2 linked regions of the Kluyveromyces lactis genome follow. The protein of the gene in region 1 binds, or shares a complex with, the protein of each later gene. Links are inferred from orthologs where the notes say so. Each region holds a gene or a part of one and is shown in the gene's direction. Other genes may lie near its edges.

Region 1 (16,033 bases):
TGTAAGCTTTTAGAAAACGAATGGTATTCTACAGTTATCTGTAACTGAATTCACTTCTTGTAAACTCATAATACTTCAACAATTAGCAGAGCTTCTTTCAATTGGGCGTTTGTTTTCATTCTCGAATTTAATCTTGTTTTTATTATTGTTTTCATGTTTTTCTCAAATGCACTTTCTGCATTTGCGGAGCGCTTTCACAAAGAGAAAACTATATAGATAAATGATACAATTGCATTTAGCAGACATACATATACACCTATAAAAAGTAGGAAATTGGACGGCAAAAACAAAGTGTGACATCTGGCGTCTGTCGTTTCGAAACAGTATTACTTTTCTTCTGACTTCATGCCACAATGTGTAAAGCCTTAAGAAAACCGAAAAAAAAAACATAAACGGTATAAAAAGTATGAAAACTGATGTTAGATTCCTCGCACGTTGTTTGCTGCAAAGAAAGATCGATAACTGATGCTATCAAGAAAAGATGCGCTGTAGTACGACAGTAATATAATTGGGATTCTCGACAATATTTCTACTGCATTTACATTGGTGTAGTACTTCTATGCGTAGAAAAACTTGAGGATTCAATGAACTCCGTCATGTAAATTCTAATGTATATCGGATACACAGTATCGCATCGAATAAAGCCCTTCTTATCTGCGGTATAAACGAAAAAACGCTGCAGAACCTTTTCTACTGACATTTCAGATCCCGGCTGGAATACAGCTATAACCACGACATGGTTCATTATTATTTACATATTTTTTCGCGTCGCATTGTAACCGGGTAATTAACAGTTTTTCGCTCCCCTCTTTGTGGGTCCATCTCATAGCCCCGTAGTTTCTGCATCTGTTAATAGCATTTTCTGTGATAAAAATAAAAAAACAAAACAAAACGAAACAAAACAAATGTAAGCTAAGACAACCTTCAGCATAACTCTCAACCTGGCTATCGATATTTCATGGAACAACTGTTTCAATTCGTGGACGTTTAACTGAGTTTAATTCTGCCTACCCGGTAATACTATATAATTCCCAGAAGCTTGAAGATATTACAACAGAGGGGAATAGCAAACAACCATCATTTACGCATAAGTGATACAAAAATCATACTTTATATCCTCTGCTAGTTAGCTTATCTTTGGAATTTGTTTACGAAACCGTTGCATTGGAACACTACTACAGATTCACTATTTGATTTAAGACTGTACGTTTATCTATTTCATCAATCGTCATACCCATAGAGTAACAGTACGCGTGTGGTGGGATCCTTATTTCAGGTTTAGTTCAGCACTGTGACTTTCCTTTCTCCTCTCGTTAAAGACAAAAAGAAGCATTCGCTTGGATTCAGATTACACTCTGTATCGTTTTTTGTTTTTCAATTTCAAGATACAGTTTGACTATTGTGTTTATATTTAAACAACTGGACATCTCTCTTTGTTTCATTTGAATTTTTTACATTGCAGCCAACTACGCCTTCATTTCATTTCTCACAACGACATTCGTTTACCGTAACAATAAATCAAGAATATTATTACCAGTGCTACCAGTGTTACCAGATTTCCAGATGAATTCAAGGGACGAGGAAGCCAATTACTTGACAAGTCCTCATATCTACCGGTCAAATGCAGGGCAAGAGCAGCTTGGTACTAAATATGCCTTCAATAGTCCGCAACCAATGCAACACACATTACCAACTCCATACACCCTTAATCAGAACAAACTGGACCATATAAACGCTGTTGAAAGGGATAATTCCGATTTGAATGATTACTCATTGGTTGAAAATAGCATGCTGAATCATCGCAATCACCAGCGTCATCACCAGCACAGCCATCGACCCACCGTTGATCCGAACACTAGCTCCAATGATATCGATGTCAATAGTAGTCAAATATTAACTGATGGTGATAACTCTATCAATGCTGAATTTACTGGTACGACACATAGTTCAACATCACACGACGTTGAAGTGCTTCTGTCATCCTCGAATTCGAGAGCCTCCGCCTCCATTGTTACAGGTTCCAATCAAGGTTCTACCATCCAGACATCAGCAAACTCAACAGAAAGAAATGGGAAGTCATCTATATCTTCATCCTCATCATCATCGTCAGCGGCAGCAACTAGAACAGCAATCACTGGAAATAACATCTCTCAACCAATCTTACCTGATATAAATGAACAACCTTCCTCTGTGTTGCATTTCGGAAATTTTGCAAACGAATTATTGCTTGCGAGTCCTGAACAATTCAAAGAATTTTTGATGGACTCACCAGCAGGTTTAAACTTTTGGCAACAAAGACAAACTCCCGCCAAGACACCTCTTAAATTTGTCACTAATAATACGAATTTAACCCATCAACAAAATAACACAGGATTGATGAATTCCATTCACTCTCCATTGCAAAATATTGATGTAAACCTCATGTTCAATTCTGCTTCCAAGACTTCATTGTCTCCGCCTCGAAAACAGATGTCCTTGACGCCATACGGCAGAAGGATTTTGAATGAAATGGGAACACCGTTTACCAAAATGATGCAACCAATTTCTTCGAACAACAGCGCATTGGTTGACTTTCATCGTGCCCGAAAGCATAACTTACAGTCTACACCTACTTCAAGACCAGCTTTAAGGAATGAAAGCCCTGGATCGAAGCTATATTGCTCATCCCCTACCACCATCCAACTTCATTCGTCAGGTGTCAAATGTTCGCCTGAAAGAGATCCAAACATCGATGAGAAACTATTTCACCTTCGAGCATCACCGACACCTAAACTATCCCTAAATAAAAGTGAGAAGTTCAGACTTGACCCAAGTTTTGAACTACCGAAAATGGGATCCTTCAAAGAAGGGCTCACAATTCCGTCATTAAGAGCACCGGACACTAACAACCAACCAATTAACATTAATAACGCTAATATACATTCCAGTATGGGTACAACACATGACATATCATCTACTTCGGAAAAAGTAAGAAAACCAAAGCTTAACAGAAATGGGAATAAAAACAAATCTAAGACAAATCAATTAATCACAAAACAGAGGTTCCAAATTATAATGACCGATACAACCAGTTTTAATTCGGATGACGGAGTTACTTCGAATAATCAAGCAAAATTAAAGAGATCTCGTTCGGTTATTGTACCTGGAGAAGTTAAGAAAAAGAAGAAAAAGAAGAAAGTCTACGAAACTTCTAATATCATACCTAATTCTCAATAAAAGACAGCATAATCGACAAAAAAAAAAGGGAAATTAAATCAATGTGCTTTCCCCATACTTTCAGCAAGGAACAATGCTTGCACTTTTCCTTATTCATGTTTTATATCTACCTTATCCTTTCGCACGCCTCGCAGCTTTTGACTGAAGGCTTCGTTTTTATATTTTCATATTACTCTTCAATTCTTATGTACATCTCAAAGCATCTATATTAGTTTGTGCCGTTTCGTTTTCTTCCCAATAAAGTTGGTGATAATTCAATAAAAAAAAAAAAAAATTGGTATTCACCATCCAAAATCAGGCTATCTTGTGAACTAACTTACAAGGAGTTCATTGTATGTTGCAAGAACCTGCAATTTATGACTGCTTTGATTACAAAATCCTGCCCAGTAGCCGTGCCTTACGCCCTTCAAAATAAATAATTCCCACTTGAAAAACAAAAGACAAAAAGAAAAACGAACAATAAATATTACAATCCGCCCCCAAATCAATTAAGGAACAGTCGAATAAACTTTAAAATAAAGGGAACCTCAGATAAAGCTATTGCATAGTTTGTCAGCTCCAAATTCATCGTTCAATATGGAAGCTCTTGATCCTCTTAGTCAGGATCCCAGGCCATCTGAGGAACGTGCCATTAAAAACGATCAACCTTACCATTTAAATTATGAATGGAACGACGTCCCATCTACATTCAAAACAATCAATAAGGATGGTCAATACAAACAATTTTCTCCAATTCCTTATATCACTAGTTATATTCCTACATTGAATACGCCTGCTGCTACCGCGGAGCTTATGAAGGAAGAAAGGGAAGTAAATCTACAGAAATTAAGGAATTACTATCATAAGGAAGCATTGGACTCTTTGGCAACACGGAAAGATAGCTATGTCTCTCAAAGTACCAATTCGCCTCAGAGCAGATCTTCAAGACGTAGGACCTCACTATCCCATAGATTCTCATCATGGAACATGGATCGTCTTCCTGAAGAGCAGAAGTCCACAAATTCTTTTAGCATTGACACTACTCAGGAAAATCAGGCCACTGAGGCAGCAAAGGTTTACATTAAGTACCGTCAGAAATTTTCATCGAACTGCGACTCTTTTTCTTCCGGTGAGATATCTGAACGTGAGGAAAATATGTGGGTGCCGATTGCTAGGTGGCAACCAAGCTCTCCGGACATGGAGCCAAAGCTGTACACATCCTATAAAATCAAACTCAACGTTCCTTATTCAGAAACATGTCCAATTACTATTACTAAGCTGTATCCCCCAATTTTTAGTGACACTAGAGTGCCTGCCCTAACATATCATTCCATTGTTAATTTGGATAGCTGTTTGTATATTTTTGGAGGAATGTCACCATCCTATTCTTTCTCCGAAGTTTCCCCGGACTTATCCAGTTTTCACGTAGACGGAATAAAACACCTTCCGCCTCCATTAGACGAAACAATCATTAATAACCCGGCTATGCTTCCAAGTAATAAGTTGTACACATTTTCTTATACGTCAACAAAGTGGACTGAAGTGAATGCCACAGGACAGATCCCTCCCGCTTTAGTTTGTGTCCAGGGCTCTATTTTAACCGACAGGCATATATTCTATTATGGTGGCTTTGAAATAAAACACGAAGTTTCAATTGATCCTAAAACAAACGAATACTACATTAAAAAGCGAGCAATATTGAACGATACTGCATATATATTGGACACTTTGTGCTACAAGTTCACCAAATTACAGCTTGTTGCGCAACCTACAAAATACGTGAAATATCCGAATACAGTCCCCAGATTTGGACATCTACAGGTTTCATTGAAAACACACACCCATAAATCTACCAGAAGTTCAACATCAGGTACTGATTCTCCCCCTTCTTCATTGTCATCCTCAACAGCTGAAAAGAATTCCTCTACTAATACTTTCGAAGACCCTATGATGAATTTTGTATCCTCATCAATGGCATTGAGTTCCGATAATATCATTTCCCCAACCTCATCAAGTTCACCCGGTGTTTACAGCATTTTAATTATGGGTGGTTATAGAGAAGGCGGAGATGGCAAGTTCATACCGATATCCGATTTATGGAAGGTCGAAGTGACCGTCCTATCTCGGGGCAAACGTAACTTTTTGAAGTTTGCTGACACCGCATTAGTGACAATAATATCTAGATTACCACAAAACGCAGTTGATGAAGCATTTCTGAGGGACTATTACAAAAAATGGCCTTTACCTAGAGGTTTTATGGCATCTTATGTCGTAGATACAGACTCTTTGAGTCCGAAATCTATGGACGCAGATCTGTTAGACAGACTAATGCATAATTTCAAAATAGTTGACAATATTAACGATGAACCCGTTGTAAACGAGCCGATGATTCCAGGAAGAACCATGAATTCCAGCACTAGTCCCAAAAGATTAAATAAGTCGCTAATAATACATGGAGGTTCCGCAAATAAGTTTATTCACGGTGATATGTGGTGTTATGATTTAGATGAGGGAACTTGGACAAAACTATCATTGAAAGCCAAGGACAAAGAGACCGGAGAGCTCAAAATAGTTGAATTTCCTCTTACGGGACACACTTTTGTACATAATAAACAGATCACCGTGGTAATTGGAGGATTGAGCCAAAAAGACGTGGATTCTTCTTTATACTGGAAAGACTACAAGTATGACGAAAAACATCAACATCCCATGCATGATACCGATGGAACCTTCACGTTCATCAGTTTACCATCTCGGGTAATTAGAAACTTCGAAGTTGTTAACATCATGAATAGAGCCAGAACAAAATATACGGAAGATATGCCTTTGTCTGCGCTGAGACTATCATGTAATCCCATCGTCTACGATCAAGACTACATATGGACGGTAGGAGGTCTTATAACGGATACGGAAAGCTGTGATGTTTTCCTACGTGGTGCAATATCATTGGTAAACTTACCATTGATTGATATCCCAGGTGTATAATGACGGACTTTTCAACGGAGATATGCTGAAAGTATTTATGACATCCGTACTGTCTGCAAACAGCAGTTCAAATTCGTGAATCGTCAGAGTTGACAGAACGACTACTAGACTATAGCGCTTATTGATATTTAAACTACGAAGCGCGACCCATGCTGTTGTATTCATCACTTCTAATCTTAATGAAAAGACTTGAACAAGATTAAAATACCAGTGACTGTCATATTTGTTTGCACCCGTACATATTCCAAAATCCTCCTCAAATCTGAAGAAAACTAAAGAATTTCCAAATATGGCATCTACACGTCAACATAGTACGCGCCACCACGGACTAGTCTTAAGAAAAATGTTCACGAAAACACCTGGACATTACAGCGAAAGAAAAGGACGCAGTTGTTCTGCCCTCCGCTGTCGTCTGTTGATTCTGAAATATCTTAAGTGTTGAACGTATATAGTGCGCTAAACCTTAAAGTTATTTTTCACGGTGAATGGTGGAAGCTTTATATTTTGAATTCCCATGATTTAAGCTAATATGTTGAAGAGTATTGAATAAAACGTTTCGGATGGTCTTCTTATTAGTTTAGTATGTTTTTAGTTTTATGTTATTCTAAAGTCTTCACGGAGCAGTACCACTGTCGAAGAAGTCAATACTTTAGAAAATTTTATCAAATTAGAAATGTCTGACGTTGAAGAAGTCCAACAAGTCCCAGTCGCTGAATTGACCATCGAAGATGCCCTAAAGGTCGTCTTGAGAACCTCTTTGGTTCACGATGGTTTGGCCAGAGGTTTGAGAGAATCTGCCAAGGCTTTGACCAGAGGTGAAGGTCAACTAGCTGTTTTGGTTGAATCGGTTACTGAAGAAGCCATCAGCAAGTTGGTCCAAGGTTTGGCCACTGAAAACAACGTTCCATTAATCAAGGTTGCTGATGCCAAGCAATTAGGTGAATGGGCCGGTTTGGGTAAGATCGACCGTGACGGTAACGCCAGAAAGGTCGTCGGTGCTTCCGTTGTTGTTGTTAAGAACTGGGGTGCTGACACCCAAGAAAGAGAAATTCTTTTGGAACATTTCAGCCAACAATAAATGAGTGGATTTTGAATCTATGTTCAAATCCAATTTAACGCTTCTGTTTTACTCATTTTTCTCATACTCAACAATAACATAAACAGATTTCTTCATGGGAATATGGACATTGTTTGGTTTGATAAAATGCTCTATTTTATAGTTTGTATATATATTCTAGGGTATCTATATGTTTACAAATAGTTTCCATCTATACCTAAAATGACGTTAATTCCAACCTGATTAATTCAGCTTGTCGAAGCAGGGTTGCGCTAGAAGAATAGCGGCAAATCTTGCGAAGCAGCTTCATACCCGTCACTATTTTCCTCTTCTTTATCGTCATGTGCAGTTTTCTTCGGCGGTTGTTGTGTATTGGGAAGGAAATTATGGCGCGATTCACTTCCCATATATTCAATCATCATTACTTTTATCTCATTTACGTCTGGAAGCTCTGGAAGAGCTTTCTCAAGCATGCATATCTCAATAATTATCCCAGGATAATGACTTGGTAGATTGTTACCTGAAATGGCTCTAGTCCTCTTATACTCCTGGTCATTAGGTCTTAGTATATCCTTCGTTTCATTCAATATATTAACAGTCATCAAACCATGTACATCTCTACGTATCATGATTTTTGAAGCAATCCGAGCACTGGCTCGTATTTTGTCTAGCATTCCATAATCAAAAACACTTATCATTGGATGATCATATAAGAGGGTGGTTGAATCATTTGCGTATATTTCGAACTTCTCTAAAATCGATCTCTCATTAGGTAATATGATCTTAGATAAACCTTGTTGAGATCTTGAAATCAATGCGAATAAGGGCTTTTTGGTGGTTTCGTTATGTATCGCATAAAAATAGCAATCTTTGCATCCAATTTCCTTCAAATCGTGTAAGGCATTGTGTAAGACATCCCCTTTTATTATGCATTCGAATTGCAGTCGCGTTCTATCTAGTACCAACCCAGTGTTGTCTAAGTCTTTGAGCAGATATGTTGAGTATTCGACGCTTTCAGTGATCATGTTATCTTCGAATATTAATATGAATGGGGATCCATCCCCATTATATGTTAAAGTACACTCAATTATATCGTTCCGATCGTTACTGATATTCAAACTATCCAATACATGGTCAAGCCGCAGGGATACCTTGGTCAAAGATGTTTCAGTTATCGGGCTATAGTGAAAGGTTTGAAATAACTCCCGTGAAAGAACCAATTGGATCTTGATTACATGATTGTTTTCTTGGGCAAAGGACAAACCATTTTTATCTATGGTGATGAGCATTTCACCTTTCACTCCAAAAGGTGTTAAACAATTCAAAGCCGTCACAATATGATCCAAATGGACAGTCGTCGCATAAAAAATAGGAGAATCTATCATTGTGGGTTGCCGAAAGATTAAGGGTTCAAGATGTTGACGGTTCTCTGGTTTCTACTTATTTATGTATTGTACATACTGATATATTGTTTATAAAAACAAGTGAAATGGAATCAAAATCATAAATAGAAACCTCATTGCCATTATATGCGAGGAGATAAGGAAACCACCAATTGGCTAAACAAGTCCCTTATGAAGCAAGCCCGGCAAAAGAAGCTTTCGATTATAGCTGTTGGGGTATTATCGACAGTGGCAGTAACTGTAGGTTATTTATTATATCTGTATCGTGGCCAGCGAAACCCGAATATAAGAGACGTAAAACCAAAGTCGAAATGTTACGTTCTTACACAAGACTTGTTCGATAAGATCGAAAATTGGCAAGAAGAACTATCAAAAGACAGCGTAATGTTAGTTTTACCAGAAGTTGCCCACTTAGGAAATCATTTAAAGTTACAGCTATCGTCTATTGAACATAAGATTGTCATCTTTAACAATTCATCGGCCGTTTGGAGTGCAGTTAGGCATTTAAAGAAATACGAGTTGGTAATAAGTCGTGATAAGACTTCTGATATGCCAGTAGATCTCAGGAGGTATGTGGGACAGATTTCGCACATTTGAAATCTGAAATTTACATCAGTTTTAATGTATGCTATTATAATAGTACTATAATGTTTACATCGTAAACTTATCTCTAACAGAACTTCTGGCTGAATGAAATGGTTAGAAATCTACCATATTGAAATTTGCTATTGAACTGCAATGCATACTATGCTTGATGTTCGTGATTGTGTATTCTACAAATAAAGAGTACTCGGCTATAACAACAACATGCAAGCTGAAGGACTTTATTAAACAATCAAGTACTGTAAAAGCAGAAAGCCGACATACGCATTGTATCACCCGAAGAAGGTTACTAGATTTCTCACATCCTTACTCCTGCCTCAACATGCACTGGAATCAATATAAAAAAAAACAGCATTCCTTAACAGAATGGCCTCAATGATATAATATTAGGAACTGTCTTAGAGACAGGATGGTATAGCACAGCATAGGGCCGAAATAAAATGTTATCGCCAATTTCAAAACTGATCTTCATTACCTCTTTATTTTGGCGCTTATATAATTGATCCTAAGGACCAAAGGATAGTGCAGTGAAGTGTAGCAAGACAATGTTCTTTTGAGGAAATAATTGGACTGACAGTTATTAACTGATATTTCAGCAACTTAAAAGAAAGAGTGGCTTGTTAATGCTATTTGATATGCAGGATCAACAAAGCCATAGTAATAGCTTCCACGATAACACAAGAAATTTCTGCTTATGTGTCTTTGGAGCTATTTATGGATTGTGAAAGGCTCTATTCGTACTCGTCCACATAGCGATGCCCCATTTTCAAATATACAATATTTCCATAAAATGACGTTCTAGAAATGTGGATATATGCAGTTGAAAAGAACAGAGCTTTGGGTAAATTTGTAGAAATTGACGAACGATTTACAGAATGATAGTTGCTCCATCCCAAAATTATACACTCCTACTAAAGGTAACTCATAGTGGGTAGATAAATCTTTTGTTTTCAAAATCGGTAAGATCTAGCATGGCTAGATTAACTCTTTCGTTGACTCCTTCTGTGAAAGAAACAATACCAAAGTTGTCTTCTGGATGTTCTTGAACCCATTGATACCTTTCTTTGTTCCTTTTCGCCAAAATGTATCTGATTGTTAACAAAATAACAATATTAAGGAAGAATGAAACCACAATTTGAATAATCCAGGATGGATAGTATCTTGGGGCATCCTTTGGATTCCAGAGTTGAGGAGAAATGATGTTTGCAGCGCCATATGCCAACATAAACATTACGTTCCTGTAGAGTTTCTTGGTATAACCGGCTGCAGATGATGTCGTCCATCCCAAAGCAATAATGTATGTGATACCCTTTGAGGAGCCGGCTAAGATCATACAGGCTAACAACGCATATTTGTTGGACCAATCTATTGTAACCATCGCAATACTGGACGCAATTGGTAGAATCAGACAACCGGCTGCAATATAACCACTTTGATTTGGATAGTTGAGGATAACAAAAGCGAATATCAAGTACAGTAGAATGTCCCAAACACTCCCAGCCGCAGAAACCAATGAAGATCCTAGGTTGTCGACACCGATATCAACATACAATTGGTTCTGTTGGTATGTCAATGAATTTGACAGCATAAGAGTAAAACTTTGGAAAAAGAACAACCATGAAACTGGATCTTTGAATGTTTCATAAATTTGATATTTTTTGATTGTCTTCTGTTCAATTGATGATTCCGTTGACCGTTGCACTTGCTTTATAAGATAGACTTTTTCTTTTGTTGACAGAAACTTTGCGTTAGCAGGGTTATCAGGGTAGAGGAGTAAGACAATTATGGCAAGTATCAACGATAAACCAGCATTGATTGCCATAAATATTCTCCAAGGATAAGTGGATGTATTCGTATGCATCAATCCAAAAGAAATGAACGATGAAAGTAAAGGTGCTGCTGCTGTAGCTGCCCAAAACACTGGTTGAACAATTTCACGTTGCTCCGTAGTAAGGAACATACCAAGGGTAATCTCACAAGCAGGAACCACCACGGCTTCGGTGGCACCTAAAAAAAAACGACAAGCCATTAAACTACCATAATTATTACAGATTCCTGTCAACCCTACAATTATTGCCCAGGAGAAAATACTTCCAGCGAGATATTTTCCCAAGGGCAATTTTTGCATTAATATATGACATGGCCATTGAGCAATAAGGTACCCAGCGTAGAATATAGAATTTAAGTTGTTAAAGTCGCCTTTACTGATTCCTGTGTCTGTATAGATTCCAAGAATGGTAGTATAACCGATTGTTGATTTATCCATGAAAAGGATTAACGTAACAAGAATGGTTAATAGAGATACAGCAGCGAAGTTTTTCTTAACAAACTTTTTCTCTTCCTCCTCAGTAAGTGGTTCCACGGTAGATTCGTATTTGTCCATAAATTTAAGAAGTTCGTCAGCATCTTTGACATCAATTTTTTTTTCCTTTTTATCAATTGAATCTGAGCTAGTCTCAAATTCGGTGTATTTCCCGTTTTGCAATTTATCATCTTTATCGACTACTTCAGCATCTTCGTTTTCTATTTTCAATTCAGACATGGTAGTGTATTTTGCTTGTTTTCTATAGATGATAATTCTTTAAATCTTATATATTACGTATAAGAAAGAACAACCACACAGAATCACATATCATCTGTTAGAGAGGTCCTGACTTTATATTTGTTAAATTGTTGAAACAGCAGTATGGGTTATTGGCCCACATTGCTTGAGAGTCTCTGCAAAGACTCATTGTGTTTATCTATTTCAAAATTAGTAACTCCCGGGGTCTCTCACAAATGAAGTATTACGGTGAAGACAAAATTAAAATTATGAGATTGGTGTTACACTAGTTTAGTACGTGTTTGACTTGCTGGTAGTATTCATGGCCGTTGAGCGGTCTTAAACTTTCATCACTGTGACTTTGTGGAAAGAAAGAATATGTCTCGAAGACATTTTTACAAGGTTTGAAAAAATGCTTTTGATCGGCACCTGTAAGAGGACGCAGAGGTTTCTGTCCGACTACAGACCCTTAAAGAAAGATACGTAGCCTTTTGACATCTGTCAGGTTGGCTGTAAAAAAATAGACAGCAAAAAGTGTGGTCATCACAAAATGTGGAACTAACTATGGGTACAGTTACTGGCATATGCTAGATTTGTGGGGATAGTATACTGTCTGTACACCGTTGCAAATTTGGAATCGTGGTTCAGTACTGGAACAATTTCTGACTGCTGATGTTGGTAGTCAAAATATCGCGATCGGATAATCCTTTAAGAATTAGTCAGAAAATAGTAATATGACATTTATTCAATTTGTTTCTTATGTATCTGCTGCAACTACATAAAAATTCGTCTCACAATATCATACTTGGATATCAAAGTCCATTTCAAAAACATACACGAACTTTACTTGGGCCTTTGTTCACTTTTTATCAAAAGCTTCAGTTTGCATATAGCTGGCATCATCACCACTCTTCTCCTTGAAAGAATCAAGGAGTTTGACCTCATAAATGATCTTAAATATGTCTCCAAATTTGAAAGTAACGATCCATACCAATGAAGCAAGAATCATCATTAGCGCGTCAAACACGTACAAGAAGTACTCGTGACTGATAATGAAGCCTTTATTACCTTGAATAAATTCAATGGCACGTACAAGAGACCTGATCAGAATTAGTAAACTGATGCCCAGAAGTGTTAAGTTGAGCGTTCTCCAGTGAAGTGAAAGGTACGGAACAATAGCGCTAGTGCGCTTTACTCGAAGCAAGAAACGTAGCTCTGTGATCATGAAAAAACCGAAGACTGCAACCTGCACGAATAATCCAACAACGATGATGTTGGACCCAGTTTTTGATTCACTTGACGTGTCAGCATTGGCCATGATACCGGCACCTGCACCCTGCACAAAGAAACTTAAAACATCACCAATCACAAATATAGTTGTGCTCCAACGTGCAGGAACTATGGAAAGCTTCGTACATTGTAGATAATGTAACATTTGACCAAATACCATGTAAATCGTCGCAGCGAACAAAGCTGGCGCAACAAGAAGAAATACAGATTGGAGAATGTATGGCGTCAACTTGTCGGTATCATTCACAGACATGTACCGCATACCGTATCCAACAGCTTCTATGGCAATACCTACCAAAAATGGTAAAAATCTCAAAATGGTGAAGTTCCTAACTTTGCGTTTGTTACTGGCACTCATTTTGTCAAACCTTCTTACAGACGTAGCTATCATAATAATCATCGAAATAAATAACACGCCAAAAGTTGCACATACGGCTATGGCAGCTGCCTTAGAAGGGTCGTAACGGTACTTTTGAAAACTTTCACTTGCGTCTCCAGTAGCCATTGTTTCGATGAATATTGCTGCTGTTTAGTGATTTTCGTTGGATATTTTGTTTTGTTCAGCTATTCTGGACCCTCCGAAAGCAGAACATTGATCGTAAAATGTTGAACTTCCATGAGTGTATTTATATCTTAGGTCCGATACAACAAGGCAATGCCAATGGCAAGATGGATTGATTATCGATATGCTCCCCATAGGCAGATATGCGATGAAATGTGATTAGTTAGAGAAGCCCTGAACCATGCACAGTTCTAGCATCAAAGTAAGAAACAGGACCATGGATAGGGGTAGGGGCTATAGGAGGAATGCCGTGGAGATGTGGAAAGCTGCCATTGAACAGCTGATCACGGGACCAATGAAAACGGCGTCCAACATTCTTTTTTTTTATTCCTGCCGCTTTCCTGCGGCAGGAAAACTGCCAAAGTTCTAAGCCTTATGAAGAAATTCTTAGCCCTTTTCGAAACAATGTCAGCAGAAGAAAACAGACAAGTTAAGAAATAACGGGGGTACCAACAAATGTCGAGGCGCAATTTCCTGCACGCCCTTGAAGAGAAAATAAACAAGCCTTGTCGACTCATTGTGTCTATCAGTAGATCTTAGCCAAGAAAACAATGTTCCTATTGATCTTGAATATACTTCAAGGTAATGAAGCATGAGAATCGTAGGTACCTTGTATTAATTTGCAAAAGCCTCTTCAAATACGTAGCTCTCTGAATGCGGATCCTTTCACTGTGCTCAATCAAGTGTGGAACGCAATAGGTTCGTGTGTGGGGTGCTCTACGCACATCATCCGTCTGCACGCTTACAAAAGTATTTGCTCCTTCAGGAATTAGTCTGGGCATTGTCTTTCGCAGTTTTCGATGTACACAAAAGGGATCAGTAAGCTTATCTGTTAGCATTTTTTGGAAAAGAAGCGCTTTACAAAGGCAAAATCTTTTCAGCCTTTCAAAGTTAATCATTGTCTCAAAGCCTTGGTTCCCACATCTGTTCTTTCCAAACAAATTTCAACTTACGCTTCTCCTTGCCTTTGATACTTTTCTGAACTCTCAAATCCATGGATATACGACTCATCTCAGTACCCGATGCATTCATCAGAAAAATTCCCTTTGATGGGAGTTGGTAGAGGAGTAATTTACAGCTCTTGGGATGAAATTATTGAATTAATAACCTGAGCAGCTTCATTTGCTTACTGGCTGAACAAATTTTGGTGCATTTAATCAATATCGAGTGTTTTACCCTTTGAAATCCACCGGTTAAATCATCTCTGAAGTATTAGAGAAAAGAATAAAGGTTACAAATTTCGTGCTACTAGTTTTACTCGTTTCCCATATGTGTTATTGGGATTTCCTATGGTTGTCGCGCTGGGACCATTGGTGCATGCTGGGAACAACAAATACAAACATCCTTAAGTGATAAGTGATGAGCTGATTTAGCCTATAGTATTCTATTTGATTCGGTTCTCCTTGCAGATTATTCTAAGAGTTTGATTTTTGTTTTTTTGTGTTTTATTTAATTCTACGCTTCTGAGGATTTTGTCTGGTTTTCGTTTGAAAAAATCTGTCCAGTGAAAAAAAAATCCCACCAGTAAATACACCACATTGCTCAGGAAATCTTCGTTCATATCCTCTTTTACAATTCATTTCGGTAATTTGTCTATATGCTGGGTTTTTAGCTCTTTGAATTCGTAAATCTGTGAATGACCGGTCATCATTGTAGAGTCTTATACAGAAAGCTAACTTCTTGTCGTAACCACTCGAATTCAATAAAACATGAAGAGCGCACTCTATATCATCGATTGTCGGATAGTATGACGGATCACAGTTAAAATAGTTGGTGTAAATATCAGCTGCCACTCAACACCTGCAGCTTCATGAGAATAGACCGTACCAAGTTTGCATTCTCTCAAGGCAAAATAGTCATAGCACAGCTTCCATAAACTGTAATCAGTCGACAGCCCAAAAGAGCTCTGTTCGAAGTAATTTGGCTGTACTTTTGGGAATCGAGCCAAAATTTCATGATCATCTTCCACTGCTATGTGCGTCTGACTATGATCAGGATTTTGTTTTGTATCTTGTTGAGTATGGTAGCTTTGATTGGACTGAGAATATTCTTTCAAACAAGTGGTCTTTGAATCATTATCTGACGACGTTTACAAAACAACACTCGACAAAAATAGGATAACTATGAAAAATGTTCGATGTACGTCTAATATTATTTCAAGTGCGATCTCTACGTTACTAAGGTTTTTTGCCTTAGGTTCAACAGTTTACGTTTCTCTCTTGATTGATTAATGTATTTCTTTTTCAGTTTTTTCTCACTCCCTCAGATTCCTCAAACATCTCAAGTTTTTGTATTACACCACCGAAATGTATTCAAACTCTCCTTGTTGCACTGGATATTCATCATGTTTGGTAGTAGGGACTTGATCTAGAGGGTATGCTCATATTTGATAAATA
Region 2 (16,404 bases), about 880 kb from region 1:
CGTCCACAATCAGTTACTTAACTCCTCTGGTCTCCAGATTAACCTTTTATTATTCAAAGGTTTTTTTACATGAGCTTTTTGTATGACTATTTTTTTTTTTTTTTTTCAAGGTCTGATGATTAAGATAATGAAGAGAAAGGAACCTGCAAGGCAATGACATCCAAGTCCTGGCGTGAACCAGTTTCCGTTATCAAAGAAGTGAGTTTTACATTTCAAATTAAGAAGGAATATACATAGGATAGAATAAGGAAAAAGATAGTGTTATATATATATATGTAGAAGAATAATATATATGTGGAGAGAGGTCCTAATTTTATATTCTTTTTTTTACTTCATAAGAACGACACAATTTTAGAAAGCATCGTCTGAGACAAAATCGTGACTTTTTCTCTTCAACTTAAAGAGAATGAAATAGAGAGATGAGATGACGAGTTAAGAAGAGATTTGGAGAAACAAGTTTTCCACAAAAATAAAAAAAAAGAATCCATATCAGTGTCTCTTATCGAATCTTTTGTAATTGTAGTAACTGACGTAGGCGTCTGCAGCAATGAAGGCACTCAACCCTGAAACAATCAAAGCGATATCCTTGTCAGACTTCCCCTTCAAGAAACGTCTTTTGTTAGCATATCCGTTTAGCAAAGTTGTAATAGAGGCTGCACCTAGCAAAGTGTTGAAAGCAACTACAGGGTTTTGCAATTCATGCAAGACAATAGTGGTAGCCTTCGAAGTATTAGCTGCAACGGTAGAAACAGTAGCTTGAGTAACACCAACTGTCTTGCTGGCGACAGCGTTGACAATTTCGACTAGCTTATCCCAGTATGGTTTCAAGATTCCTTCGTATTCATCGAGATGTTTTTTAACTTCGTCATGAGCCTTATCAACGGCATCATGGGCATCATGAGCAGCATGTGAAGCCTTATTCTTAGCGGTCTCCTTGGCTTCCTTGACGTCCTTAGCTGCCTTACGTTTTTCTTGCTGCTGGTTGTGGTGTTGAGCGTCGTGTTTTTCTGATGACATTTTTATTTTCTGTTGATACACTGATACGTTTGTTGTGAAACTGAATCCCTAAAGAGTTGATAATAGAGAGAATATAGAAAATGTTAAAGCCTTAACAAAATTGTAACGATAGTTTACCTTATTTTAATGAGCACTATTTTTTTTCGGCTTTTTCTGTCTCTTTATATTTTCGGGGTTGAATTTATAGAAAGAAAAAAGGGTAAACTGATTATGGTATTTCTGTCTAAAGGAACTATTAAAAAAAAACACCGGTATGGGCTTTGATTCTGAACTGATTTGAACCAAACTTTGAACTTTTCGATTTGGACCTGAGGTTACTAAACTAAGACAATCTTGTGGAGAAGACTCAAACAATACCCTACTAGTAGTATCGCAGTTATATAATATCGTACTTTTCAGGGATATATCGCTACTTAAATATCCGTGCTCAGAACTGATCTAGAAAACAAAAAAAAAAAAAGAAAACGGGAGATCACAATCACAATCACAATCCCAATCACGATAAAAGCTAAAAGTCGAACAATGATGAAATGTCACAGTGTGACGAAGTGTAACTATTGGTGATGTAGTGTGAGTGCTTTTATGTATTATGTATTGTAATACGGATGGAGCGGTTACAGCCGGTTCCCGCTGCGTTAGTTTGGCTTCTCTGTTCCACGTTTGAACATTTTCTTTCCAAGATGCTGAGAAGGTGTGCGGCATAAACGTCATTTACGCTGGATAGCGATAGAAGTAATCACTTTTCTGTCTCAGAAGATGAATTTGCTTCTGTCTAATAGGCCAATTGGAGTGTATTTGCTACTAACATGGCTTGATAATGTTGTTACCGTAAAATAAGGGCTGTTCTTCTGTATACTTTTCTGTGTCCTATTGACTGAATGTCCTGATTGCGGTGAAAGCAAACTGAGAAAGCAAAATGCATGCCGGACCTGGGGTAACCTAGGGTAACCAAATTATATCTCCTAGTCGGGATATAAATTTTGTGGACTGCTTTTCTCCATTAACACCCGTACATTCGGCAATTTCAATTTCCATCTTTTTTTTCAATAATGATCGCCACTTTCTTTAATAGGAAATATTGACCTTTAAACAAAACTATCTTGACACGTGATTTATAGCCTCTTTATATCCTCTTACCCTGCCAGTACAATCAAAGTTTTTCAAAGGTTTCTAGCTTCACAACCATGCAAACACGTCGGATATTTTTTTTTCACACATGAGACCTATCTATCTCATCACTAAACAAAGCTGCATCTTACCAAACGTTAAGTAATTTAATTTTATAATCTCTATTTGTTTCTCCTTCGAAGCTCCCCACGCATTGTATTTATTGTCGATTGAAAGTTACCTATCCATCAACTTTCCGTGATCCAATCCCGACAAGTCTTTATTAAGTACAATTCGATAAATCAAAGATGTCTGCTCCACAAGCTCAAGGTCAACAAGCTCCACGTAGAGGTGGTTTCGGTGGTGCCAACAGAGGTGGCAGAGGTGGTAGAAGAGGTGGTAGAAGAGACCAAGAAGAAAAGGGTTGGGTTCCAGTTACCAAGTTGGGTAGATTGGTGAAGGCCGGCAAGATCTCTTCCATCGAAGAAATCTTCTTGCACTCTTTGCCAGTCAAGGAATTCCAAATCATTGACCAATTGTTGCCAAACTTGAAGGATGAAGTTATGAACATCAAGCCTGTCCAAAAGCAAACCAGAGCTGGTCAAAGAACCAGATTCAAGGCTGTCGTCGTCGTTGGTGACTCCAACGGTCACGTCGGTTTGGGTATTAAGACCGCTAAGGAAGTTGCTGGTGCCATCAGAGCCGGTATCATCATCGCCAAGTTGTCCGTTATCCCAATCAGAAGAGGTTACTGGGGTACCAACTTGGGTCAACCTCACTCCTTGGCTACCAAGACCTCTGGTAAGTGTGGTTCCGTTTCCGTTAGATTGATTCCAGCTCCAAGAGGTTCCGGTATCGTCGCCTCCCCAGCTGTCAAGAAGTTGATGCAATTGGCTGGTGTTGAAGATGTCTACACCTCTTCTACTGGTTCCACCAGAACTTTGGAAAACACTTTGAAGGCCGCTTTCGTTGCCATCGGTAACACCTACGGTTTCTTGACTCCAAACTTGTGGGAAGTCCAAGCTTTGACTCCTTCCCCAATGGATGTCTACGCCGACTACGCCACTGCTTCCAAGAAGAAGTTGTAAATGTCATCTTTAAAATATTATAACTGTGCTGTATAGATATTTTTTTATAGCTGTCAGTATGTTTTCTCTGAAACAATAATATATTGTTGACATTTTACCAATTGTTCCTCTTCTCTTCACAAGCTACATATCATATATATTCACACTCATTATAATTGACCTTAACCCTTTAGGATCGATCATAATAAATGATCAATATACGTGACAAACTAACTAAGGGAAACTATATGACTGTCCTATACACTTCGTAGCAAGAAAAACCAGAGAAAAAGACATATGGTAAAAAAAAGAGATAGTGATAAAATCAAGGTAAAAGGGATTTCTCTTATATGACCATTAGAGTACAGGTCAAGATACGCCAATCATATTAATAGGCTTCTGGAATTTAAACACTGCCAGTCTCTTTTTTACAGTAGTCTTTCTTCCGGTTGACCTTTTTTTTTTATTACTTTACAGTATTTTTTTACCTTTTAAGACTTTTTTTTTTTTTAATAATTAATAGATATAACACTATAATAATAATTCAAATAAAACAGTTAAGGATATCACCATTAAATAGAGCGGAGTAGATTGGAATGTTAACTCATCATCATAGCATCGCCATCTACTTCTTGTCCAGCATGAACTGACTGTACGTTAGATTCTGGTACAGCAAATGGTCTCTCGTTACTCGAGGAATTTCCACTTCCAATCAGCTGCGGATTGAACCAAATACCGTTGGTGTTTTCTGTATCAGGCTTTTTTGGCTTTTCAGGCAATACCCTTTCTGGAGGATGCTGGAATAAACATCCGTATGTTCTACATTCAGCCCCGTACCTACAAGGTTCATTGATAGGGTGACCGAAGAGGCAGTCTATTCTTGTACATTGCGCACCCTCGCGGCACATGATTGACGACCTTGCGTGTCTCTTTGGACAATTTTTATTGGTACATTTTGGACCAAACTTACATTGTTCCAAAATCTTTTCTTCCAATGGGACAACCGATCTTGGCGCGAATTTTGGATTAGAAGGTTTAGAAATGACCGGTTTTGGTGCTGGCTTGTGTATGATTGGTTTTATTTCCTTAATCTTGGATAAGGAACTGTGAGCCTTGTTACAGGTCGGATCAGTGCATTGCAAGTTGTTCTCGCACCAACTGAATTGGGTAACCTTTGCGTCTTCATTTGCAGGAGTTGGATGACCAAATGGACATTTTTGATTAGAACAAATGATCCCAAATTTACATACAACAATACCACTGATCCTTTGCTGTTGTTTCTTTTCCATCTCTTCCCTCTTTATCCTGCGTTCTTCTCTTACACGCTCTAGTTCTTGTATTAATTGTCCATCTTCATTTGGATGTAAATAAGTGCATGTACCTGGTGGATTTTTACAGTTTGGATAACTTGGACACGTAACGGTTGGATGTCCACGAGGGCACTTCCTTCCTAGAGAACAGTGAGGGAAATCAGGACAACGGCCTTCTCTCTTGATGACAACATGGCCAGATGTTTCATTTGCGCCTTCCGATTCATTTATTCCAAGAGCCATCGCCAGTTGGTTAGCACCGTATCTCGAGTTAACTCCACGTCTATTGGTAACACCAGCACTCTTTGAAATTCCACCTCTAATGGAGCTGAAACCACCACGTCTAGAAGTCCCATTATGGGCCGATGAATCTTTGTTACGTTGCGAAGACCTCCCTTCGTTAGCCGTATTATATTTAGATGCAGACACATCTACTACCCCGCTAAATGCAGAAACCGGTGCACTTGGAGCTGGAGCAGAAACGGGTGGTGACTGTACTGGTACTCCTACAGATGTTTCGGTTCCAGTTGACACAGGTGCAGAAGGTGCACTTGAAGAAGGTTGAGATGAATTACCACTCAACTTTGCATAAACGGTGTTCAAGTCATCGCCTGCTTTCAACAGATCTGCAGATGTAAATGCAATGGAGACAACACTCTGGAACTCTTGCGTACTAATACCATCAAACAAACTTGTCAATTCTTGTACGATATCAGGACCGCTGGAACCGTTGGACATTAAAAGTGTAATATACTCAGCGACTTGGTTAACATCTTCGTTGAAATTAGGAACAACCTTTAATCTCTCGGAGATGACAGTCTTTAAATTGCTGGCAATATATTCAGGTACAGTTGACATGTTGCTACTCTTGGTTTGTGTCCTCTTTAGTTTGATCAAGCAACAAAACTAGCTTTTATCCTTGTTCAAATAACTGCTAAAGAATCATTCAGATTATTCGTAATTAATTTCGTTTTAAGTATATGTAATCTTGTTCTTCCTTTTCTTGTACCAGCCCGAAACAATTTTTTTTTTGGCTCTGTATACGGAATATCGTAGAATATTACGCAGAAGGTTGAGTGGAGAAAAAGAAATCAGAACGATGTCCTCTGCTATCCGAGCTATCACGTGATTCGTTGTTAACTCCTGTATTATATGTTAGTTGCTATATGATAGTGACAGTGAATAGACCCTGTTCCAGTTTTAGGTAGAGACCTGGATCAGTGGTTGATGAGCATTAGAAATCTTTCTCATATTTATAAAACTGCTAGTAGCTTTCTCTAGGGAAGTATTCATTATTTAGAGGAGTTAATTATTGGGTTTCCATGTGGAAATGCAGAATGATTCTATGCTATAATTTATTTATTCGTGATGAGATGCAATGCATATAACAAATTCCGTCGAAATTTCTTACTTCATATCTATTCTTTAGAAAGGTATTCTTTAGAAGTGTCTCGTAGTTTTGTCTTCTTGTCTTTCATGTAATTTATTACATTGTTAAATGTTATGGTCGTAATGCTTTTAATAAGTTCCTCGTATTCCTCGTTGATCTTGGTAACTGCTTCCGACTTTTCCTGCAATTCTATCTGGAATTGTTCATAAGTGAAAGGTTGCAACGATCGTTGGTATAAATTCGGATGGCGTTCACAAAGGTCGGCAAATAGATGAAGAGACTGCAAAAGAAGACTTGCTAATGTGAGGTGTAGAGAGTAATCCCCAAGACTTCTCTTATTAGATACCGACAGGTTGTACATTTCCGGATAAATAGTTATCACTTCGTTAATAATATCGATAGCATACGCTGAAAGGATATTGAGTCTTATGGCTAATCCATCCAAAGTTTCATCCCTAAGTGCTTCCTTTATCTTCTCTACTCCCTCAGTTAAATCACCTGCAAGAATTTGGTATGCAGAGAGTACAATAGGAAGTATTTGCACTTCTAACTCTTTAGCCCATCTGTTTATATTTCTTCTTGTAGCCAAAAGATCATCGGATGCCTTGGAAAACAATTCGTCATCATGCTCAAGACGTCTTCTTTCTGAGTCTATTCGCATGAAGGCGAATATAAATTCGCTGCTGATTTGCTCCGCAAAAGTAATTTCTCGCGACATAAAATGTGCAAATCCTAAATAAAACTTTCCAAGATCTATTACATCGTTCTTCCCATCATACATCACCAAAAAAGGATACTTCTTCCTCAATAATTCTGTTAGTTTCTCGCTATCCAGATGGTTAGCAGAACTTAAGTTGTTCCCACTCATTATTTTGGTACAAATAAACCAGTGAACCACCCCGATGTGATTATAGGCTTTGATGTTGATATACACCCAATAATGAAAAGTAAACGTGCACTTTCCACTGTTAACTTCTATTATAGTCATCCTCGGTTCAAAATACATTGGAAGCATCTTAGTATGGAATTGATCTCCAGTCACGTGAAGAGAATCAAATCCGTTTACAGTGATATATTCTCCCTTTAACCTGAATTTTTCAAAATTTAGTAAAAAAAAAACGCGACGCCAATAATGCATATATTATAGTTTTAAATTGAAGAGTAACATTAATAATTTTTGCAAACTATACCCATTGTTTAAGAGCTGGCAGGAAATTAAAGCAAAGGGACTCTTTGGTACTTTTATTGAAATAACCTGCAAAGCATTTCGTGGCTCGGTATTTCAAACTCATTGTTCTATTAGGCGTGGCAGTTGTCTTTTTTGGTTAGATATTGAGGACCCCATTGTGCTAATCTCAAGTAACAATGAGTGACGGAGGAATTGAAATTGATTTCCAAGCCTTTTATGATAGGTTTACAAAATTAGGGAAGGCATATTCTGGATTTGAAGGTTCTCCAAATAGTCTTCTCTTTGTACTTGGTTCGACTAATGAGGAAAACCCTTATCAAAAGACCACCATTTTGCATAATTGGTTGCTAGGGTATGAGTTTCCAGCTACATTGATTGCCTTTTTCAAGGATAAAGGTGTCATCATAACCAGCAGTGCTAAGGCGAAACATCTTTTGCCCGCTGTTACTAAGTTTGAAGGATCAGATTACAAACTTGAGATCTGGCAAAGAAATAACAAGGATGCAAATCACAATAAGAAATTGTTTGAGGACCTCATCAAGCTGTTATCAGAAAACGGTAATACTGTCGGTGTCCCAACGAAGGATTCATATCAAGGTAAGCTCATTCTTGAATGGAAACCGCTTTGGGAAGAAGCTAAAAAGACGCATTCTTTAAACGTAATCGATTGCTCTGCTGGTTTGTCTTCTACTTGGAAGGGCAAAGATGATAAGGAAAAGGCTTACCTTTCTGTATCCAGTAAGGGATCTGACAAATTCATGGATCTTATGTCAAATGAAATCGTCAATGCTGTTGACGAAGAACTAAAAATATCAAATTCTAAGTTGTCAGATAAAATTGAAAACAAGATAGATGATTCCAAGTTTTTGAAGAAACTTTCAAGTGATCTAAATCCTTTGTGTCCTACCGACGAGAAATTCGACGTTAATTTCCTTGATTGGGCCTATTCTCCAATTGTGCAATCAGGTTCTAAGTTCGACCTTAAGGTTTCTGCTCGTTCTAACAACGACTCACTTTTCGGAAAGGGTTCCATCCTAGCCTCATGCGGTATCAGATACAAGAATTACTGTTCCAATATCACCAGAACTTTTTTGATTGACCCGACAGATGAAATGACTGACAATTATGACTTTTTATTGATTTTGCAAGAGAAGATCATCGATGATTTATTAAAAGTAGAAGCTGATCCAACATCTATTTATGAAAAGACACTGGAATTCATCAAAGAAAAGAAACCGGAATTATTATCTCACTTTACTAAAAATGTTGGTTCTTTGATGGGGTTGGAATTTAGAGACTCTGCTGGTATGATCAATGCTAAACCAACCGCTCATAAAATTTCAGAGAATTGCTGTTACAATATTTCACTCGGATTTGGGAATTTAAAGGATAGTAAAACTGGTCAGGTATATGCTGTTCAATTAGCAGATACCGTTCAACTTTCTTCTGATGGAAAGCCATCCACTTTGACCAAGTACACAAAGGCTAGATCCCAAATCTCGTTTTACTTCAACAACGAAGAAGAGAACAAAGCTGCAACTGTTAAATCTGAAAAAAGCAAGCCTCCTGCTTTACCAAAACCTGATGGTACATCGAAGATTTTGAGATCTAAGCTACGTGGAGAAAGTCGTGCTGACGATGAAGAGAAAGAACAAATCCGCAAAGAGAACCAAAGAAAACTTCATGAAAGATTACAGAAGGAAGGTTTACTCAGATACAGTGATGCAGATGCAGTAGATGGCGATGAGAAGCCAAAGCATTTCTTCAAAAAGTACGAATCTTACGTTAGGGAAACTCAAATACCATCCAATGTACGTGATTTGAAGATTCATGTCGACTGGAAGAGTCAGACAATCATTCTACCAATCTATGGTAGACCTGTACCTTTTCATATCAATTCATACAAAAACGGTTCTAAAAATGAAGAAGGTGAATACACTTATCTCAGATTGAATTTCCATTCTCCTGGTGCTGGAGGTGTCGGTAAGAAAACTGAGGAGTTGCCGTATGAAGAGAACCCAGAGAATCAATTTGTTCGTTCTCTAACTTTAAGATCTAAGGATGGTGCTCGCATGAGCGATGTTTTCAAACAAATTACTGATCTTAAGAAGGAATCTACCAAACGTGAACAGGAAAGAAAAGCTTTGGCTGATGTTGTTGTCCAGGCTAAATTGGTGGAGAACAAAACTGGTAGGACTAAACGTTTGGACCAAATCTTTGTCAGGCCTAGTCCCGATACCAAGCGTGTGCCAGGTACGGTGTTCATTCATGAAAATGGTATCAGATACCAGTCTCCATTGAGGACAGATTCAAGAATTGATATCCTATTCTCAAACATCAAGAATCTATTCTTCCAATCATCAAAGGGAGAACTTATTGTGATCATTCATGTTCATCTAAAGAATCCTATTTTAATGGGTAAAAAGAAGATCCAAGATATTCAATTTTACAGAGAAGCATCTGATATGGCTGTCGATGAGACAGGAAACAGCAGACGCAACAACATGAAATTTAGAAGATATGGTGATGAAGATGAATTAGAACAAGAACAAGAAGAAAGAAGAAAACGTGCTGCCCTTGATAAAGAATTTAGATATTTTGCTGAAGCTATAGCAGAGGCATCCGATGGTCTCCTAGATGTAGATTCTCCATTTAGAGATCTTGGTTTCCAAGGTGTTCCTTCTAGATCAGCCGTGTTCTGTATGCCAACGAGAGACTGCTTAATTCAATTAGTTGAACCGCCATTTTTAGTCATAAATTTGAACGAAGTTGAGATTTGTATACTTGAAAGAGTTCAATTTGGATTGAAGAACTTTGACATGGTCTTTGTTTATAAAGATTTGACAAAGCCTGTTTCTCATATAAACACTGTACCAATTGAGCAACTTGAATTCATTAAGACATGGTTAACAGATGTTGATATTCCATATACTGTTTCTACAATTAACTTGAACTGGTCGACAATCATGAAGTCGCTACAAGATGATCCTCATCAATTCTTTTTGGATGGTGGGTGGTCGTTCTTGGCAACTGGATCCGATGATGAAAGATCTGATGAGAGCGAGGAAGAAATTTCAGAATACGAGGCATCTGATGAGGATCCATCTGATGAGGAAGTGTACTCTGAAGAAGAAGAGGATTATTCGGATGACGAAAAATTCAGTGATGAAGGGTCAGATGATTTCGCCGATGGATCAGAAGATGACGAAGGTGATGACTGGGATGACTTAGAAAAGAAAGCAGCTAAGGCAGATCGTAATAGCAATTACAAAGAGTAAGATTTTTCTGTCTCTGGATAGTTTATCGTTATTTTGGGTTGTATTTTTATAAGCACATAATGTAGGCACTTTAAAATCTTTTTTATTGAAATAGTTGGTTATTCTGGTTGGTTTATTTATCTCAACGTAATTGCATTCTTATTACATATTATACATACGGTTCATCAAATTAACATGACAGCATCGAAAGTGCGATGGAAAATAACTTACTAAACCCCCTCAAGTTCAGTAGTTAGAAAACCCAGTTGCCTGTGAGCCAATCGCGCCATTTGTCAAAAGTAATGGCTGGTCATCGGAGTTAGAGCCTACTTTTGCCTTTGATGCAAACTCGGAACTTAATTGCTTGATCGCATCATTTTGCTCCTTCTTCACAGAAATTTCATATGGTTTAATAAATGTTTCCAAGTTATTCAACCAAGCTTGTTCAAGGACAGTATCGTATGTAATCAAGTGGTAACAAGAATATAGTAAAGCGATAAATCCTTCTTTGTTGTCGGTTTCAATGAAGAATGATAATAGGTCTTCGGCGATCTGTTGACTTTGTGAAATTGCAGCAGTTTCAATAGCATGTTTCCAGAGCTGTTCGCCCTTGAAGATAGCCAAACTCTTGGCCCACTTTTTGTTTCTACGGTACAATTCGGCAGCAATAATCTTGAAGAAAATTATCTCATGATTTTCCAAACGGGTGGCCAACTCTAGTTGATCAAACTTATCATACGAGCTAACAGCGTCTTGAAGAGCTTTGTAATCAACCTCTTCGATCATCAAATCGTGATAAGCCTGATTAACTACGGAGTTGTTTTTTGGCAAGACATTAATTAAGAATGGTTTAATCAATGGTAGATTGTCAGATTTGGAGAAAATTCTAACAGTTCTTGGAATGTCTAATCTTGGAATCAACACGGTTAATAAATCAACAAGTAGTGAAGGGTGTTCCTTCACATAAAAGTTGATTGCTTTGTAGTAAATTTCCAAGTTTGACACTTTAACAATGATTTCTTTGAAGTACGAATGGTCAAAGTTATAGGCAGACTTTTCAATCATCGTTAAAGCAGCATTATCCCATTCATCGTAGTGTGCATACAAAAAGATCAATTCTGGCCATAAATGAGCATCCTCTACAGCCCTTATGACTTTTGGAATGTTAATACGAGACCAGAATAGCTTTAGGTGTTCATAAGTCTTGGATGGATTGTACTTAGTGTAAAGGATTGCCAATTCAGTAAACATACCCATATGAGCTCTTTCCAAACCTAAACCTGCTTCGAATAGGGAAATTAGCTCCTCGAAATACCCGTTGTGCTCATATACAGCAACCAATTCGTCTAACTCCTCGGCATGAACAACCAAATTCAAACCACAGATTTGAGCCAATCTAAATTCTTTATTGGAAATACATGCGTCGTTAACCTGTCTCCACACCTTAACATTGGAAGCTTTTCTGGCGGTATCGACAGCATTTTGATAATCACCCAAATAAACTAAAGTGCTAGCCAACTTAGAGTAGTTAGAAATAGAAGAGTAACATAATTTGGCAGCTTTGTAATCATTATGCTGGGATAACTTATCACCAACTTCTTCTAGGTTAGCAACGGTAGAGACTGACAACAAGTTTTCAATTTCATTCAACTTACTCAATTCAGCGTATGCCAAGATTAATGCTCCGTCGATTACCGGTTCCTTCAAAGATTCTCTAGCCATCAACAAATATGGGACAAGCTCTTCAAATTTACCAGCGTCTTCGGCAGCCTTGATAACGTTCATGAAGTTCGAAGGATCTTTAGCCTTGATGTAAGAGTCAATAGCTTCTGGGATACGTAATGCATTTAATTCTGCAGTACCAAGTTGAGACCATAGCTCTGGTGTGTTGATTTTGTCGGCATATGATTCTGCTCTGTCTAACATCAAAAGATCTTCGACTATAACTTTCAATGCTTTGTCATGTTTCCCATGTTTATCATAAATTTCGAAGGCTTCTTCATTTAATTCATTTTCAATACACAATGGTGCAATTTCATCAACATCATAATGATCTAATTTCTCAATTAAGCCACTTACCTTGTTAGGTTCATATCTAATAGCAGAGAGAAGCAATAAACCTTGCAAAGCAGGATTGTCATTGAAAGGAGATGGCTCTAGGATAATCTTCTCTAACAATTCAATTAACTCCGTCTTTAATCCGTTAGACATAAAAGCCTGCACAGTCAAAGACACTGGTTCTGGATCAGTAAGCTCAGGAATGCCAACGCTAATGACAGCATCAACCAATTGACGTCTATGGATATTGTCAGGAGACAACACAATGTTCCACAAATCAGAGTTTGAACGAGCCAACAAATATCTGGCCTGATATTTGTACATACTATTTTCGTTTGTGATTCTAATCAAATCATCATCGTTTTGTCCTTTCTCGTAGGCGATGTACGCCAAGTAAGGGTCCCTCTTTTCACAATAGCGACCAACATTCAAAGTATCATATTGATCATTCTCCTTCAAGAACTTTTCAGGTGAGTTGTTTGAGTCAATGTAGATCTTAGCTAAGGTGTTGTAGACAGACTGATTTTGAGTCCCAGATTGTAAAGTCTTTTCGAGGAATGGTAATAGTAACTTCAATCTGTTTCTCTTCTCGACTTCAGCAGTCAATTCATCGATAGGAACTTGACCGACGACAGTATCTAACAATGAGGTGATAACTTTCTCGTCACAATCAACATCCAATAAACCTGCCACAACTTGAGCAGTTTTAGAAGGATTAACTTGTTGCACGTACACTTCGATAAATTTGAAGTTTTTGGTTCTGTACAAGTATAAAACCAAGTCATGCACCATGTTGAAACGATCGCAAACAACAACCAAAGGCATTTGATCTTGTAGTTGGGCATCTTTCAAGAAATTCTTGACCTTCTCTGGGTCATAAACGTTGTTTTCCCTTACAATTCTTTCAACTTCTTGGAAGTGACCAGCTTTGACAGCAGCTTGAATATACTTGAAAACAACTTCCTTATCGGTAGTCAAGTTTACTAAAGAAGCCAAGTAGTAATATAAACCTTCGTTTGATCTATAATCTTCGAAGAGTTTGATTAATACTTGAGAACCAATCAAATCCGAGAACTTGGTTGCAACTTGAATGACAATTTGAAGATTTGCTTCCAAATTATCATCTAACAAGGTCTTCAAACAGGCGAGTGATTGTTCGACATTCAACTTACCGAAGAAGTCCACTAACCAATCAGCTGGAATGGAGGAAGTATGGACAATACATCTCTTGATATCCTTAATATCAGAGTAGTTTTCCAAGGCCCTTTGGTATAAACCTGCCTTTTCTGCCAAACCTGCAATAGTTGGCTTATCATAATAAGAGAAAATGTCATTACCCAAAATAGCATCAGCAACTTGAGGGGCATTTAATAAGTTGATTTCCAATACTCTCGTTTGCAAATGTCCTTGATCAGGAGTATTTGATCTTAAAGCGTCAAGTAAGAAAGAAGTACCTTGTTGAATGTAATTCTGACTGAAGAATATGTCGGCAATCTTTTCAACTTCAAGTTGAGAAGCAGTTTCAGGGTTAGATAATAAACTGATGGCAAACTCACTTGCTTTGTCGGGGTTAGTTCTTAATAGGTTAGAAATCAAAACAACGAAGTTTGGATTGTATCCCACCTTGGCGGAGTATGGTAAAATCTTATCGAACTGTTGCAATTCTGCAAGACATGCAATTACCTTTGGATGTACTTCCGCCTTCAAATAGGTTGCCAAAGCCAAAGTAGTATCAAATGGCTTCACGATGTCACCTAATTCTTCAGAGCATTGTAATTTGTCTTCCTTTAAGTACTTTTCGTATAATTGATTTCTATTTTGTTGTAGAAGTGGTCTTGTCAATTCAATAGACTCATATTGATTTAGTTTGCCCTTATCCAACAATGTGGAGAAATATAGTAAAATTGGAGAGATTGATCCTGGAGGTGCCTGGATATTTTTCAACTTGTTAATTGTAGCTTGAGTTCTTAATTGCTGGGATGACGCAGCAACTTTAGCAGCATTGCTGTAATCGCCTTGTGATAAAAGGTTGTCGAATTGCTTCTCGAATAAATCATCAGCACCTGGTAGTCCACCTCTCGAAGCCATTGTCAATGCGAGGGATACATTGGACAACTTATTCAAAACGTAAGGAACTATTTGAGTAGTATCAATTTCAACAGCCAAAACGTTACCCTTTTTGTTGATACATGCGATACCATTCTTGTGGTTGTAGTATGTTGCAGTAAAGACAGAGTCCGCAGTGATTCTATTGACGAACAAGTTTGAACCAGTCTCTAACTCATATAAATGGATAAAACCGTACTTGGTCAAAACATAAATGATGCCGTACTTCTCAGAGACTTGAACAGAAATTGGGAAATCGTTAACTGCATCAGCTGGAAAGAATATATCTACAATTTTTTTCTGGTATCTTACTGACTGGTCTTGAGGTGGATCGATTTCAATTATACGCAATTCGCCAGCGCCTGTGTTGACGTTTCTGTTACCTGTAACGAAGACTTGAACGGGTTCCGTGTTACCATCCAAAAGAATTTTGGAGAAGATAGCTACGTGACCATCAATGGCTTGCGAGATGCCTCTAGTTTTCGAAAACAATTGAATTTTACCAGCAATTTTACCATTTTCTTGAATGATACCAACGACAGCGAACCAGTCCATTTTTTCATTGGCGACAAAGTTGATAATTTGGGTGTTGTTTAAGTTAACGTGTCTATCAGTAATTTTGGCTGGCTTAGCAGAAACGTTTCCATCAAACACATTGGAGACGTAAAGTGAGTTAGCAGTGATGAATCCTAACACGTCTTCGCTCAACCATTTCCAGAAAATAACTGGTTCATCCAATTGGAAAGATTTCAATTTGGACTTAGTATCCAAGTTGAAGATTTGAACGATGGTTCCGTTAGCTCTAACAGAGATAACTTTTTGTGAAGGATGCATGATGGCAGAGTCACCACCCATATTTTTCCTTGTGACCTCATTGCCGTTTGTCAAATCGACAATTGCCACCGTGTTTGTACCGTTGGAGGACTCTCTAACGGTGACGAAATGATCGGATTCGAAAGTGGTAGATCTGAAATCTAGGTATTGAGGGGAGATACCTAGTGATGTTAGATCTACCAATTCAGTAAATTCGATGGGAAGATCACTCATTTTGGTTTTCAGTTTTAGTTTTTAGGTTTAAAGTACTATTTCTTCCGACTTATCTTAGGATAATTCCACTTCAATTGAATTCGTGTTTATAACAATCTACACTGAATTGAAGCGACTTCTTCAGCGGGGAGTCAATTAAAGCACTGATATACTTCAAAGGGAACAGAAATGAAGATAGTGCAAAGATTGACACCTAATTTAGCTTTGCTTTGTCTTTTATTTTAGAAACAAGTTTCCGATCGGATCGAGACAAAAATAAGAAAAAAAGGTATAGCAATTAGCTCTGTAATACTTCGATGTAGTTTCCAGCTTTGACTTCAATAAACCAATTGCAGTCAATGAGTCGCAGTCCTGCGGAAAGATGGATTAAAAGAATAAGTTTAGACAATCTACTTTAAACCCTTTTTCCTAAGTTAAAAAGTCGTTTTTAATTCGAGAACTATGAATTTTCAAAGAAAGTGCTTAATTCACTTATTTTCATGGAATGAAGGTAATTTCAATTCAAAAGATCACCAAACAAACAAGATACAGAATCTGGTAAAAAGGGGGAGCCTATTAAACAAAAGGAAAACAAACGGTACATCGAATATATATGTCATGGGTCACAAGATAGAGGAAACATTTTGAATTGAGCTTGTGGCCTATCACTAATCCACAACTCAGCCTTACTCGTTGCTTACTTGCTTCTGAATATCAAATGGAACTAGAGAATGTCCTCGGCCGGGTAATAAGTATTATGGTTATATACAAGCATATATATATATGTTTACTGCACCACATTTTTCACGTAACGTGACCAGCATATTCAAAAAAAAAAAGGAGACAACGAAGTTTTATATCCGGGTAACAATATTAG

The links.
Region 2: RPS12 (region 1) and RPS2 share a complex: the UniProt entries of both Saccharomyces cerevisiae proteins name them as parts of the small ribosomal subunit. The link is inferred for Kluyveromyces lactis from reciprocal best matches to the Saccharomyces cerevisiae genes RPS12 and RPS2.

Annotation. Positions count from the first base shown.
Region 1 is NC_006042.1:10,271-26,303, reverse strand, and holds RPS12 (40S ribosomal protein eS12), read left to right. Parts: upstream 1-6,853; coding exon 6,854-7,258; downstream 7,259-16,033. Other genes in the region: NDD1 (Ndd1p), read left to right, coding at 1,564-3,216; GPB1 (Gpb1p), read left to right, coding at 3,793-6,180; RAD17 (Rad17p), read right to left, coding at 7,510-8,622; ubiquitin-protein transferase activating protein PEX22, read left to right, coding at 8,767-9,237; KLLA0_F00286g (uncharacterized protein), read right to left, coding at 10,166-11,785; KLLA0_F00264g (RTA1 domain-containing protein), read right to left, coding at 12,645-13,580. UniProt on the Saccharomyces cerevisiae protein: Component of the ribosome, a large ribonucleoprotein complex responsible for the synthesis of proteins in the cell.
Region 2 is NC_006042.1:900,722-917,125, forward strand, and holds RPS2 (40S ribosomal protein uS5), read left to right. Parts: upstream 1-2,432; coding exon 2,433-3,212; downstream 3,213-16,404. Other genes in the region: OM14 (Om14p), read right to left, coding at 490-1,017; mRNA-binding protein NAB2, read right to left, coding at 3,791-5,359; KLLA0_F09867g (uncharacterized protein), read right to left, coding at 5,920-7,029; chromatin-remodeling protein SPT16, read left to right, coding at 7,257-10,358; CHC1 (clathrin heavy chain), read right to left, coding at 10,584-15,548. UniProt on the Saccharomyces cerevisiae protein: Component of the ribosome, a large ribonucleoprotein complex responsible for the synthesis of proteins in the cell.